Astyanax mexicanus: one gene and its partner. The protein of the gene in region 1 interacts with the protein of each later gene in a biochemical or structural test. Links are inferred from orthologs where the notes say so. Each region holds a gene or a part of one and is shown on either strand. Other genes may lie near its edges. The genes, in order: hmga1a and prmt6.

Region 1 (7,815 bases):
CCCCTGATCTAAACTTGATGAACTGAGATTTAGATGATTTGAGGTGATTTAATTGGGATGAGCTGGAGCAGCAACTATTGTTCAGCACCTCCAGGAACTCCTTCCTTCAAGATGCTGAGAAAACTATACCATGTGACTCTCCCTCATGAAGATACTGAGATTAAAATTCTTAGAAGAATTTAAAGTATAAAACAGATTCTGGTTTGTTTAAAAAAAAATTGAAAATCGAAAAATTGAAAAAAAAAAAAAAAAACACTGAATTGAATGAGAAGAAGAGGTGTGTCCAAACTTTTGACTGGTACTGTATATACTTTAAAACCAACAATTGTCCTTCATATTTTTTGTCCTTTGTATTTGTTTGCAAAAACAAACAATGAAAGCCCATTCCCTTAAAATAAAAAAAGACCCACAGGGTTCAATTTTAGGGCGTATAAAAATGAATGTTAATTATGAAATGAAGAACTGAAGTGGGGCCATCATACAGAGTTTAATGTGTTAACAAAAACCTCCAATACAAAAAGGAAACCAAAAAACTTTTTCACTTTTTGATGATATTTCTCTTACTGCTTATTGCATCCAGTATATCACTGATAAAGGGACAAAATCTATATATTTAAAATAAAAATAGATGTCCTTCACATTTTAGTACACTGTGCTACATCAATAAGAACCCTTGGGCAAGACTCCTAACACTACATTTTCCCATTTCTGTAATAGGAATAACCTTGTCGCTATGGAGCATCAGCTAAATGACCTAAAACACAATTATAATAAATGAATATATAAAAATACTTATATATATAGGATAGGTGAGTCTAAAACCAAGCAATTATATTGATATAATTTTAGTTTTTTAAGAGACAAAGTCATTCATTTGAAATACTGACAGTAAGTGGTGGTTTTGAGTACCTTTATTGATATTTTAAGATGATTAATGCTTATTTCTCTTTATTTCCTCTTTATTTTGATCTTTTCCTCTTATATTCTTAGGCACATTATGCTGTTAGACTGAATAGTAATTCAATGAACAATAAACAGATTAATATAAATGTTAAAAATACTTGGAAATAAAGTAAAAGTTTAGTTCCTGAAAGTAATAAATTGAGTGGTACAATCTTTTTGTGTGAGTAACCTTTGTGAGTTTGCTTTGCTTTACTGTTGGAACACAAACTAGTTTATTATGTTATCTGTACAGCACTGAGTGTTGAATCTGAATGGACTTTACCCCTTGAACCGTAGCTTTATGATAGGAGTTAATAATCCTTCTGCAGGAGCTTTTTTAGGACTATTAGGTAACCGTTTAGTTTAAGGTTTTATATATGGAGTTCCACAGGGTTCCGTTTTAGGGAGTATCAAATTGTTTAGAGTTATGCCAGTAGATTAAAGTTTAAAGTGTTACATAAAAAGTCTGAATCACTTTTTTTATACTCTCAGAGTGCCGAACACATCAAAAGAATAATATATGACTTAAACACAAAGCTTTATTGTGGCAGGAGCTAAAGTCTAATCATTTTACAGCATGAAACCTGTGACACTGCTATTGTTTGTTAAGAGTGTAGTAACAGTTACTAAAACAGGTACTAGTATCTTGGATAAGACTTGAGCAATAGTATGTTCTATCGAAGAATCATGTTTTTCTATACATTATTATATAGCATAATTCTAGAAGGCCCAAATTTATATTGGACTATATATAAAATTTTAATTTTGCTTATTTAACGTTTCTAAAAATCTTACGTATATATGATATTATTATGTTGCTGATTGGATCGTAAACAGCCATAGCAACTTAAGTTGAGTAGAGTATAGGGCAAGGGAATGGACGCTATGCGTAAACTCATATGTTAGGTGCAGAATTTATTTCTCTGCTATTGATCCATTAAGAAATTGTGAGGCAGTGTAAGGGACAGTTTGTGTGTTCAAATTATGTAGTAAAGGAAACATTGATTTGCCCTGTAATGTAATTTTAAGGATTCAAATGAATTATACCACTAATACAATGATAATTATAATAAATTAACTTTTGACCAACATTTGTTTCTTTTTTTTTTGCTTTTAAAAATCAGTTTATTTCCTCTTTTTGATTTTTAATGGCATTTTCCCCTCTTATATTACTTTTACTTTCATATTTAAATCAGTTTTAACATCAGTACATTTAAACTTTTACTTAAAGAGTAAAAAGCTTGAGTTGAAACTTCAACAGCTACAGAAGTATTTTATTAAACCATAGTATCTATACTTCTACCTATACAGAGTAATGAATGGGTAAATAGAGAGAAATAATAGCGATAAGTGTTTAATAGTTTTGTCATTTTAGGAATACCAACTTTTTTATACCACTGATACAATGATAATTATTTTTCTCCTTGTTATTTAATCACAGTTTATTTCCTCATTTTGATTTTTAATGGCATTTAATGGCATTTTTCCTTAAACTTCTACCTGAGTAATAAATGGAAATACTTCTCACAACTTTGGTCTATTTATTAGGAAATTGTGACACAGTGTAAGGGGCAGTATATGTGTTCACATTATGTAGCATTAGCAAACTAAAAATGTATGTAAATGTTATACAAAAATAAACTGCAAAAAAGTGTTTAATAATATTGTCATTTTTAGAATGTTTATTTCTTCTTTTTGTTTTTAATGCCATTTTTCCTTATATTACTTTTATTTTTATACTTTAATTAGTTTTTAAACCAGTACTTTTCTTTTTAATTAAAGAGTAAAAGCTTAAGTTGATGCTTTAGCTTCTTCTTCCTTTTCCTCTGACACCACTTTTATACTTTAAGTAGTTTAGTAGTAAAGCTTCAGCTTCTACCTTTGGTCCATTCATTAAGAATTTGTGACGCAGTGAAAGTTTGTGTTCAAATTATCTATCGAGCCAAAAATTAGAGAGTTCAAAAGTGTTTAACAGTATTGTAATTTTAATAAAACATTTTTATACCACTGATACAGTGATAATTATGAAAAATAAATACTTCCTTTGTGGAACTAACCTTTGACCCACTTTATTTCTTCTTTTTTTATTGCAGTTTATTTTTTATTTTATTTAATTTTCCTTGAGTAAAAACTCGAGTTGATACTTCAAATTCTACAGAAACATTTTAAAACCCTAGAATATACTAATATACTTCTACCTGAGTAATAAGTGTTTAATAGTATTGTCATACCACTGATGGTATACAATGATAACTAACTTTTGACCATCACACTGCCATCTTATTTATAAACTCCTTTATAAACTCTGATCCTAAAACGTCAATGGGCCCCTGATTGAATAAAAAAAAGGTAGATCCCTAAAAGCATTACAATTTGATTTGATTTGATTTAAGGAAAAAAAGAAATGTGTTGAAAAAAATATTAAAATATAATAATAATAATAATAATAATAATAATAATAATAATAATAATAATAATAATAATAATTTGAGAAAATCTTGTGGCGGATCTCTGGAATGTTTACTTGCCTTTGAGATAGTTGTTTATATGTTGTTGTTTTTCCTGCTTTCATTCTTTTTCGGTTTATCACTGTAACTCTTTTAAACTTCAATAAAAAAGAAAAAAAAACTTTTCACAAACACAATTTACCATTTTTTTGGGAGAGAGGCCTAAATTTTGAAAATAAATAAATGTAATAAAAAAATCACTGTGAAAAAGGTGGAAAAAGTACTGAAAAATTCTAATTAAGTAAAAGTACCTTCACTTTGCTAAAAATAAAAGTAAAAGTAAAAGTACCCATCTAAAAATCTACTCGAGTAAAAGTAAAAAAAATAATCAATTTAAAATGTACTTTGAGTAAAAGTTACATAGTTACTTTTATTTATTTGATGTAAAAAAAATCAACAAATCATAAATTAAATAAATATTAAATTAAATAATTTGGACCAGTATTCGTTCAGACCACCCTACAAAACATTTTCAAGAACAAGTGGCATAGGTTTCTATGATCCATTTTTTTCTTTACTTGTTAAAAAGTTATGGTCATATAGGTGACTATTAACTGTATTTTTATAGATTTACAGTTCATTATTATTTGTTTAACTTTTCATTGCTATGCTTTAACTGTTTTTAAAATGATTTACATGTTTTGTTTTGTTTTTAACATCCAAGCAGATTAATGTTTAATGTTCCCAATAAAAACTTCAGGAATTATTATGAAAAACATAAAAAAATACAAAAAACCAAACAAAAATGTTGGTCGACGCATGCGCAGTGCCGTAAAGAAGCACATATTGATGGGAAAACTTTTTTTTTTAAATTCAGACAATTTGTTTTTTTTTTTTCCCCAGCATTTTATTTTTTACTCAGTTTAACGGGGAGAGTTTTCCAATGTAGCGAAGTAAATTACTTGTGTCAAAATGTACTTGAGTAAAAGAACTACTTTAAAAATGACAAATTACTCATAAAATCTACTCAATTACAGTAATGTGAGTAAATGAGTAAATGTAATAAGTTACTTTCCACTTCTGAATTGTCTTAACTCTGAAAATACACCCTTATATTATGTAATATTGAATAATATTGTGTAAATGATGTTAAGGTGATCTTTTGTGTATAGTCCCCTGCTTAATTACCATATATAACCCCGCCCACCTCGCTGTGGCCCGTGAGGAAGCCTGTTTAAAATGCCCTGAGAGACAGCCGGGCCTTCAGCAGCGCCTCACTCCCGCACACCGGGCTCACCGCTCAGCACGCACCCAGCCTGGGACTGCCCTCAGCCTTCTCACCGCCGCACTGCTTAGCTCCAGACCAGGTACTTCCTTTATTTACTCATTTAAACTTCCTAAATTCTGCTTTATCTCCTGTTCACAACCTTATTTTACCCTTTTATATTCTGATTTACTATCCATATAAAGCACAGGGGGGGTTTAACCAGGTTAACTCGTGCTTTAAAAAAATGCGACCGTTCTTTACAGCGACTTTAGCGGCGATTATCTGCTTTATTTCAGCTCCTTCTTCGAGTTTGAGTCGAGGTACGCGTTGTAAAACGTGTTAACAATTTTTCTGATGCGTGATTCATTGTGAATTTGCAGTAAATTCGCTGTAAATCCGTCTAAAATCGAGTGTATTTACGTGCAGGGCTAGCTAGTTTGGCGCTAGCTTAGCACCACGCATGCTCAGTAGCTTCATAACGAGCTATAGCTAAAGCCTTTAGTGTGTGGCTCGTGCTTCATTGTTCAATGCAACGTGCTGCTGCTGCTAATACAAAAAACCGCCTTTGGCACGGTGTTAAAGCACGATTAAAGCACTTAAACCAGCTTTTTAAGTCGATTCGAGCGCGATTAAATTAATTTAATCGATTAATCGTGCTGCATTCGCACGTTCTTCCAAAAAAGCAACAAAAAACAGGGTGGTTTAGGGTGCCTTTTGTTGTTTGTGCGCCACCGTGTTTTTGGCGCTCAAATGCATGCAATCTGGCGCCAGTCTGGGCTTATGCATACATGCATGCTTGCATTCACGCACGCCTATGCACTAACTAAAGCATTTGCATGTATTTACTTATTTTTGTTCTCGTGCATGCTTTTAATTTTTTATTTTATTATAATATTTCATAATGCACGCCTGCTTATTTATTCTGTCTGTGTAGTGATATAAATACATGCATATGTTGTAATTTCGCTTTATTTTTGTGCTGTTGGAGCCACGCGGGCATCCGTAGCGAGTAAACTGCTTTTTTTTGGATTCTGGAATTGGCTAAGGCTGTAGCTAACTTGTGCTTAAAATGGGGATGTTATCAGCTTTATTCCAGCAATGGTAGCTCTCGAGATTAACACGAGATAATAAGGGCTTTGAAGCACGTAAGATAAGGTATTATCGATGCATGGTTCATTGAGAATTTTGTAGTTATGTAGCCAGCTATAGTGCGTGCATTTTTATTTTTTTCAAGTTTAAGCATTTTAAATATGTGTATAGAAGTTGTAGCCTGCTTATTCTTTAGCTTTTGTGTCGAGTTAAGAGTTTGAAGCACGTGAAGCACTCTTCATTGATGCACGATAAACTTATTTTTGGAGTGTATGTAGTTTAAGCTATTTTTATTAGTTCCTTTCTTTTTAAATTCATGCAAATGTTGTGCTTTCAATTTCAATGCTGTTGCAGCCACAGGGGTATCTGTAGCTAGTAATCAGCATTGCCTCGATTTAGCCAGCTAGTGTGAGCTAACTTGTTTTAAAACGTGTAGACTAGATTATACAGGCTTTTGTTTTGCTTTAACACTATTAGTGTAGTATACTATAGCATAGTATGAATTAAATTGAGATTTGAAGGGTTTTGATGCATGCGAAAAATAAATAATTTTATTGATGCATGATTTGTTATACATTAAATATGTGTAGGTAGCTACTTACATGCATGCACAAATTGTGATTTTTTTTTTTTATTATTATTTATTTTGCTTTTGCATCTAGTAATCAGACTGCTCACTTTGGGAGAAGTTGCATAAACAAGAGATTTTGCTTGCCAGCTATTTAAATTTCTTTCCTTGGTTTAGGGTTCTAGACTGCAGTGTGCATGCAGTTTTAAAGCTGCAGGACTAAAAAACTGAAGGTGTGCATGCATTGATTTCTTCTTATTTCTCTTTCCCAAAGTAAGTCAACATGAGTGACGCCAAGGACGCCATGTCTCCTAAAGATAAGGATGGAGCAGAGAAGAGAGGCCGTGGAAGACCAAGGAAGCACCCACAGGTAATGTGCAGTAATGCAAGATACTTAATTCTAGATAACTAAGTGTGGTACAAGCGTATGCAAAAAAGGAAATTCTCACAAAATAACAGTAGTTATTAATAACATTTTATAATGCTAAATTTGATGTAGAATGATGCTTATGCCAAACAAGTTAAAGTATTACAATTCTTGGTATCCAAATGTGAATTAAACAGACGTTAAACAGATTATACTACCTACTTGATTAAAAGTTGGGGCACGAGGTAAACCAGTAAAACCTACATGCTCTGCAAATGCTGAGGTTTTGAGCTAATGCACAGAGTGTTCTTCACAATAGGTGTCATTGCATGTGAGGAAATGGCATGACTCATTTCCTTTTTACTGGTAAGAATCAATACTAAACAATATGGCAAAAAAGTAAGTACTTCAACTTACTTTTTAAAGTACACACAATTCATAGCAGCTCGTACTTGAATGAATACAGTGAAATATATGAAATTGTCGTATCTTGTAGTAAAAGGACATTCAGTAGAATGCACAAAGCATTTTTAGGTTTTAACTTTTAGAGTTGCACTGATCTTAAAATGATATAGTTTATTTCTATACAAAATAAACTGTTTTAAAACCAGCAAGCATCACCTGTAAACATGTGCTGGACTAAATAGAGAAAGATATAGTGACACATATGTAACAGGCTGCAGTACTACATTTACAGCACTAGGGCTCCTGTAGTTTTATAAATACTCAGTAATTTGTGTATTTAATGCATGAGTCATTAAAATGAGTAATCTTGTGTAATCAATTACATTTTATTAAAAAGGGTTTTAACAAGGTCCTTAAATTCTTAAATTGTTTTACCTACAGCAAATTTACAGTAAATGTGTTACATTTTAGGCGGTGCATTTAATGCACAAAGTTAATGATTATGTTTTTGTGTTTATTATTATATATTTTTTTATCAGACATTACTTTTAAAGATATGGCCATCTCTACAATTTAATTTATCCCTTTTTTTTACGAAAGAGCTCATGCAACTTACATTAGTTATGTTGACTCTGTTCTGCATTACAATGGAACAAATTTGAAGAAGATAAAAAAAAAAACAAAAGATAAATGGGAAACTGGAAACGTTTTGATTTCCAATACGATAATA
Region 2 (7,432 bases), on another chromosome or scaffold:
ATATATATAATCCTTTAAATAACCTTATAATCCGGTGCTTCTTAAGTATGAATTCTACCAGTCAGGTATTAAGCACCGAGACTGGAGTAGCATTAGCATTAGCTGCTAACCACAGAGCTAAGCGTTAGCTCTTTTGCCATTCAGAGGTAAGTATTATCAGCCTGTAGCCTGTTGCTAACCCCGGCTAGCACTGCTGGGGCAGCATTAGCATAAGACACTAACCATGCTAAGCGCTAGCTCTTTAGCTGTTCAGAGGTGAGTATTACATGCCTGTGGCCTGCTGCCAACCACTGCTGGGGCAGCATTAGCATTAGCCACTAACTTCACTAAGTGCTAGCTACAGTCAGAGGTGAGTATTATTGGGCTGTAGCCTGCTGCTAACCCTGGTTAGCACTGCTGGAGAATTATTAGCATTAGCTGCTAACTTCACTAAGTGCTAGCTACAGTCAGAGGTGAGTATTGTTGGCCTGTAGCCTGCTGCTAACCCCGGCTAGCACTGCTGGGGCAGCATTAGCCGCTAACTTCACTAAGCACTAGCTCTTTAGCTGTTCGTAAGTAAGTATTATTAGCCTGTAGCCTGCTGCTAACCATGGCAAGCACTGCTGAAGCAGCATTAGCATTAGCCGCTAACTTCACTAAGCGCTATCTCTTTTGCCATTCAGAGGTGAGTATATCGTACTGTAGTCTGCTCTGTGTTTACTGTGTTAAAACAAGCTACATGCTATGATCCACTAGCTAATATATTGCCCTGCTTACCTGAACACTCAGGGTCCTCAATGTAGCTCTGTCAGGTGGCATTTGCTAGCTCTAACAATGGCTAGTGCTAGCAGTTAGCCACTAATGCTAAAGCTGCTGCACCCAGCCTCAATGGAAATCTGGAAATCTAATCTTACTGTAAATAAACGGAAGCGCTTTATTCACCCAAATAAACAGTTTTCAGGAGGGAAATCTGTGTAGATTAACTTCCAGTGCTTGTTCGTAGCTGGGTCAGATCAAAACCAGATTGTTTTATTCCACACCCAAGTGCAATTCCTGTGTTCACACCTGCTCAATCGAACCGCACTAAGAGTACAAACCAATCAGAGTCCGTTTTAACTGGACAAAATAGTGCTGGTGTAAACAAAACACGCTACTGTATAGAAAAAATGATAGAATGTATTGAACTTCACAGTGTAAAATCTGTAATAAATTATACTTTGTAGTAAAAACTTTGTATTCCATTTTTTTATTATTTTGACAGTCTGCCAGATGCAGTGTGCTAAACCTGAGTGCTGCTGCCGCTTTTGTTGTTCTGCTGTTCAGCCAATTAAATGTGATGTTTTAATTTGTTGTTTTCATTTAGTGGAAGTCGTTCCTTGGCTTGTTAATCGTGTCTAATTCCTTTATTTGATTCAATAAACTGAACAAACACAGAATACTGCACCTACAGAACTGCTGCCAACAGTCTAATCAAATACGTCCAGCAGTGTAGCGTCTTCAGGAGGACGTCCCCTTCCCTCAGTCTGTTACATAACAGGCCTGTCCTCTCTGTAGCTCTGTAGTGACTGTGTTACTGAGTGTCCTCAGACCGTGTTGAGACACTGGAGACAGTAATGCATACTGTATCAGAGGAGCCGTGGAGCAGTCTTTACTCTCTGATACTGATTGAAGTGCTGGGAGCACCGTGTCAACATCAACCCGTGAATTAGTATTCATGGCCCGACCCACCTCGGCTCGGACCGCCCACAGGCAGAGCTGAAGCCGGGCAGCGACGCCGTCTCGTCAGATAGGAGCTAAATAACAGCGCTAGGAACAGCATGCAGTTCATTCCTGTGTTATTTGTGCGAATAACACATCAGTGTTTATATACTTTACCCAGTAATTCAGAGCTAAGAAACAAATGGTTAGAATTAGTCTATGGAGGAAAAACACCACCAGCCAATTACAATTGAGATAAGTAGGTGTTTGTTTAGAACAGTTCTGTTTACACTAGTTAAGGGTGGATTTTTACTTTCTGGACCTGGACTACCCACCTCTGTGTGTGAGTATCTATAGGTTTAAATAGGATCTCCGGTGGATTTGGTGTTTTACAGAGACTAAGACTAGGTCAGTATAGGCTGAACTGCACTTAGCAGGGCATTATTACACATGTTGTAAAAGTAACATATGCCACTGTAAAGACTGTTATTAGTGTAAAAATGTCTTTATTTTAAAACATTTCTAACTGGTGTTTGTCTCACTGCCTCCTGGTGAATATTCATGAGCAAGACCCGAAATCCTATCGTGTATATCGTAAATACGATCAGATATCTTAATTCTATTGATATTTGCATCTCGTTTTAATCATGTCTCATTATTTCATAATCATATATCATAATCATTTAATGATGTCTTAGTGTAGTTATTCTTTAAAACATATTTAAACATATATTATCTTATTATCTTAGTAATAAGAGTAAAATAAAAAATAATAAAGTAAAATAAAGTAAAATAAAATGAATAATCTGTATATTAGTGTGCAGCAACTTAATTCATTCCGTTAATTTAAGTGACTTTAAATGATTTGACTTAACAGTGATTAACTACCTAATTTAAGCACTAATATTTTTTTTTTCATTTTTTAGAATAAAGAACTATAAAACACTACATGTGGAATGTGGTAAAGACGTTTTTTGTAAAGAAGCTCATCTCCTAAAATGAGTTCTGTGGCATTTCAGACACTACAACTCCCATAATGCACTGCACCAAGCAAGGAAACAGTGGGAAACAACCCGCCCACAATGTCTGTAATTTTCTAAACACTAATATAAATCATGTGTTCTTTTATACCAGGGGTATTTAATTAGAATTCAGTTTGGTCCAGTTAGAGAAAATCTCATCAGGCCAAGGTCCGGACCGTCACCATTTTTAACTTGTGTTATAATTCAGTGTTTTATTCTGTTTACTGAAGAAGCCTATAGTAGTTCTGTCAGTGTTTTATCAACAACTGAAAGACAAAACAAATTACACATACTATTCAGTATATTTGAACAATATGTATTGTTTTAAACAGGCCTATCACAATAATTACATTATCAGCCTATCATAAAATAAATGGAAACACCCTCAATAATTTAACATATCAAGTCTAATAATGTGAATCTGTATTTTGACTTTGTTTCAAAATGTTATATTTATTCTATTTGATTTTATTTATATTAGATTCAGGCCTGCCTGTCATGATAATAGTTACATGAATGATAAATCGTACAATATATGGAGAAATGTTTGCTGAACCAGAATATCAGCTTTTTAAAAATCCTTCTCAGTAGTTTATTTTGGATTTGGGTCCGGATTGGACAACGTCTGGGTCCGGACCCGGAGCGCGGTCCACCTATTAGTGACCTCTGTTTTATACTGTCATTTTTTAGCGTTTTTATTTTTGTAGTTTTGTAGTTTAATGACTTAATGTGCTGTTATTGTTATTGTAAATATTGCTGGTCCCCCATATTTACTGAAATGTTTTTGTTTGTGAGACACGTTTTTAAACAAGTGGGGAAAAATAAGTATTATTTTTTTTTACATTTTCATACAGTTTCACAATTATTTTATAACTGTATGAACATATTTATTTTCTTCATCAGTGTATTGTTTTTTTGTCGTTCAGATTAAAAACTACACAATTTTAGGAAATGTAGTCTTTTGTATAGAAGCTTATCTTCACATGTTCGTTCTGTGGAGTTTAAGACACTACAACTCCCATAGTGCACTGCGCAAGACGGCGCTTCTTACTCGCTCAAAGAGGAAACGGTGGGAAAGTGGGGGAGGGGCAAGGGAACAACAAAACACCGCAAAACACCGCAAAACCCCGCCCACTGTTTCTATAGCAACATAAAAACAGGAGGAGATCGTTTTAATAACATCTTCTTATCTTTAAATTATAAATGATCTGTGCTTTTTTATACTGCTCGTTATTTTAGCGTCTGTCTGTAGATTTTGTCTGAATAGGCTGTTATATGGACATAAAAAATTATAATAATATTAATCTAAACAGCTATATATTTATAAAATACTGTCGGATTTATAGGCTTTGATTTGTAGTTTATGTCTGAATAGGTTATAATTATTGTTGTTGCTGCTCTTTTTACTACTTCTACTACTGTTCAAATACTGAAAATAAATGTATTGCATTTTATGTGAGATACATAAAAAATAATAAAATAATATTTAATATATCTATATTTATATTTATTAAATACTGTTCGATTTTAGGCTTTGTTTTGTAGTTTCATGTTTAAATTACTGTTGTTGTAATTGCTGCAATTATTTTTGTATATAATAAATATTACTACTATTTTTACAACTACTACTACTGCTAAAATACTGAAAATAAATATATGGACATGTATTTCTTTATATGTGAGAAACATTAAAAATATAATAATAATAATAATAATAATAATAATAATAATAATAATAATAATAATAATAATAACAATAATAATATTAATAATATACATCTATATGTATTTTTAGTAAATACTGTTCATCTTTAGGCTTTTGTTTTTGTAGTTTCATGTTTGAATATGTTACCATAGTTGTAAATATTGCTGCTGTTTTTTCTACTAAGACTATCCCATATATTACCATACTAAAAATAAATATATATATGGATATGTGAGATATATATAAAATATAATAAAATAAAATATTTTTTTTCCATTTTATACAATTTCATAATTATTTCACAAATGAAATTTAACAAATATGTTTTTCTTTATTTATTTATTTGGTTGTTTCGATTAAAAACTGCTAAATACAAATAAAAAAAGAGTATAAAAAAGGTAAAAAAGTACGAGATCTAAAAAAAAAAAACTACCACCCCCACAATGCACCGCGGAGGGGGAACCACGGAAACACGGAAGCAGCGCGCGCGGTGTGCTCGGCGCTGTGCACGCGCGCGAGGAGCGGAGATAGGAAGATGTCCCACAGCGCGGCGAAGAAGCGCCGACAAGATAACAACAGCAGCGGCGGCGGGAGCGCGCAGGACAGCCTGTACTTCCAGAGCTACGCGGATGTCAGCATCCACGAGGAGATGCTCGCGGACACGGTCCGCACGGACACGTACCGGCGCGCGATCTTCCGCTGCGCCGCGGCGCTCGCGGGGAAGGCGGTGCTGGACGTGGGCGCGGGGACCGGCGTGCTCAGCGTATTCTGCGCGCAGGCCGGCGCGCGCCGGGTGTACGCGGTGGAGGCTAGCTCTATAGCCGAGCAGGCCGCGCGCATCGTGCGTCAGAACCGCGTGGAGGACCGCGTGCAGGTGATCCGCGGCACCGTGGAGAGCGTGGAGCTTCCGGAACGCGTGGACGTCATCGTGAGTGAGTGGATGGGATACGCGCTGCTGCATGAATCAATGCTGAACTCGGTAATCACCGCGCGCGACCGCTGGCTGAAGCCTGGGGGGCTAATTCTGCCTGAGAGGGCGGAGCTATTTGTAGCGCCAATCAGCGACCTGGTAGCAGAAGAGCGTTTGAACTTCTGGGACACGGTGAAGGGACAGTATGGGGTGGACATGTCCTGCATGGCCGAATTCGCCCGGTCCTGCGTCCTTAATGGCGAAATCGCAGTGCATCCTGTGACGGTGGAGGACGTGCTGTCGCACCCGTGTCGCTTCGCCCAGCTGGACTTGCGTACGGTCACTCTGGAGGAACTGAAGAGAGTGAGCGGGTCTTTCTGTTGTCAGTGCTTCGGCTCGTCCAGCCTGAACGCCTTGTGCGTCTGGTTCACCGTCACGTTTCCCGCGGAGGACATGCCGCCGCTGGTGTTGTCCACGTCGCCGTTCAAAGCGGAGACGCACTGGAAGCAGGCCGTGCTGTACCTGGATGAACCGGTGGACGTGAGGCAGGACACGAAGGTGGAGGGGAACATTAGCATGTACCCTTCTGAGAAGAGTTCTAGATATGTGTGCATCCATGTGGACTACACTGTTGGGGAGCACAAGCTGAAGTCCAAGACTTTCTCCATACCTGATGGACATTCTGAGGATACCTGATGGACATTTGGAGGATACCTGATGGACACTCTGAGAATCAACAGTAGTAGTAGTAGGAAAGTTTGTGGTGTTGCTCTTCAAGTTGGTTCTCAACCCTGGTTCTGGAGTATACCTTGATTATACATGAAATAAACACAATAAAAAGAGTAGGGGTGGTTAATATGGCACTAAAATAATATCACAAAATTTTATGGTATTTTCGCGATAACGATACTCTTGGCGATGTGACTATACACTATAATAAAAAATCAAGTATACACTACTGCAACAGAATCAAAAATAAATGTTATTATTGCATTTGATATGATATGGCACACTCCTAACTGAGATATTTAAAAAAAAAACTACAGTATTTACAGTAACTGAAGTCAATAATTCAGAATATTACGATACTACTGATAACGCACTCCATATGCAAATATCTCCATATATTCAGAATTACAGTAAAATTAATGATACTGAACAGATATAATCTAAAGTCTCTAGTAGATATATAATATAATGGGAAATGAGAACAGTGTGATTTTTTTTCTTTTGATAAAAACAGTAAAAAAAAAAAAAAAAAAAAGTAGTACCCTGATCTGATGATAATTATATATATTTATATAATATCGTTGGCGATATTATTGCGTACGATATGGCACACTCCTAGCTAGATAGAGAGTTATAATCCCTATCTAGGCACTGGTATACTCTAGGACCATGGTTGAGAACCAATGATATTGGAGAATTATGGGAGGGGGGAGGGGTTTGGGAAGTTCTTCTCTGGTCAATGAATGAATGAATGAATGAATGAATGAAGTATTAAACGAAAAGCTTGTTAACAAAAAAAAAACACATTGCAGACTGTAATAAAATCCACCCATGTCTTTATACACACCCTGCTTAACCTCGTTTATATTATAGACCCACAGGCCTTTAACTTCCATTTAAACAACGTTTGGTTCCACAAAATAATATAAAATATCAGTCAAAAGTTTGGACACACCTTTAATATTTGTTTAATTGATTTTCTACATTGTAGATTAAGAGTAAAGACATGAAGATGATTAAGGAACACATGGAATTAGGTAGTAAACAGTAAAAAAATATATATGTATTAGTCCTTCACATTAATCCCCTGAACTCCTATAAAAATCATACAAACAGAAAATAGAAAACACAGAATGAGAAGAGGTGTGTCCAAACTTTTGACTGGTACTGTAGATTTATAAATTTGGGGAAATTTATCTGTTTTTCCTACATATCTCTATTACAAACATGGTTCTGTTTGGAATCAAATGTGGTGTTTCTATGAAAAACACTTGAAACACCATTATTTTATCTGTATTATGGTCATTGTTGGTTCAGAGGCTTCACAGAAGTACTGAATACAAAACTAGAATACCTCATCTAAACATATGAAGTTCTTAGAGATAACCA

What was found.
Region 2: of the proteins of hmga1a (region 1) and prmt6, one has a biochemical effect on the other in vitro, tested with the Homo sapiens proteins (2 studies listed by BioGRID, with this or other methods). The link is inferred for Astyanax mexicanus from reciprocal best matches to the Homo sapiens genes HMGA1 and PRMT6.

The regions. Positions count from the first base shown.
Region 1 is NC_064420.1:49,603,096-49,610,910, reverse strand, and holds the start of hmga1a (high mobility group AT-hook 1a), read left to right. Parts: upstream 1-4,614; 5' UTR 4,615-4,756; intron 4,757-6,587; 5' UTR 6,588-6,596; coding exon 6,597-6,683; intron 6,684-7,815. UniProt on the Homo sapiens protein: HMG-I/Y bind preferentially to the minor groove of A+T rich regions in double-stranded DNA. It is suggested that these proteins could function in nucleosome phasing and in the 3'-end processing of mRNA transcripts.
Region 2 is NC_064413.1:55,037,140-55,044,571, forward strand, and holds prmt6 (protein arginine N-methyltransferase 6), read left to right. Parts: upstream 1-4,875; 5' UTR 4,876-4,939; coding exon 4,940-6,010; 3' UTR 6,011-6,889; downstream 6,890-7,432. UniProt on the Homo sapiens protein: Arginine methyltransferase that can catalyze the formation of both omega-N monomethylarginine (MMA) and asymmetrical dimethylarginine (aDMA), with a strong preference for the formation of aDMA.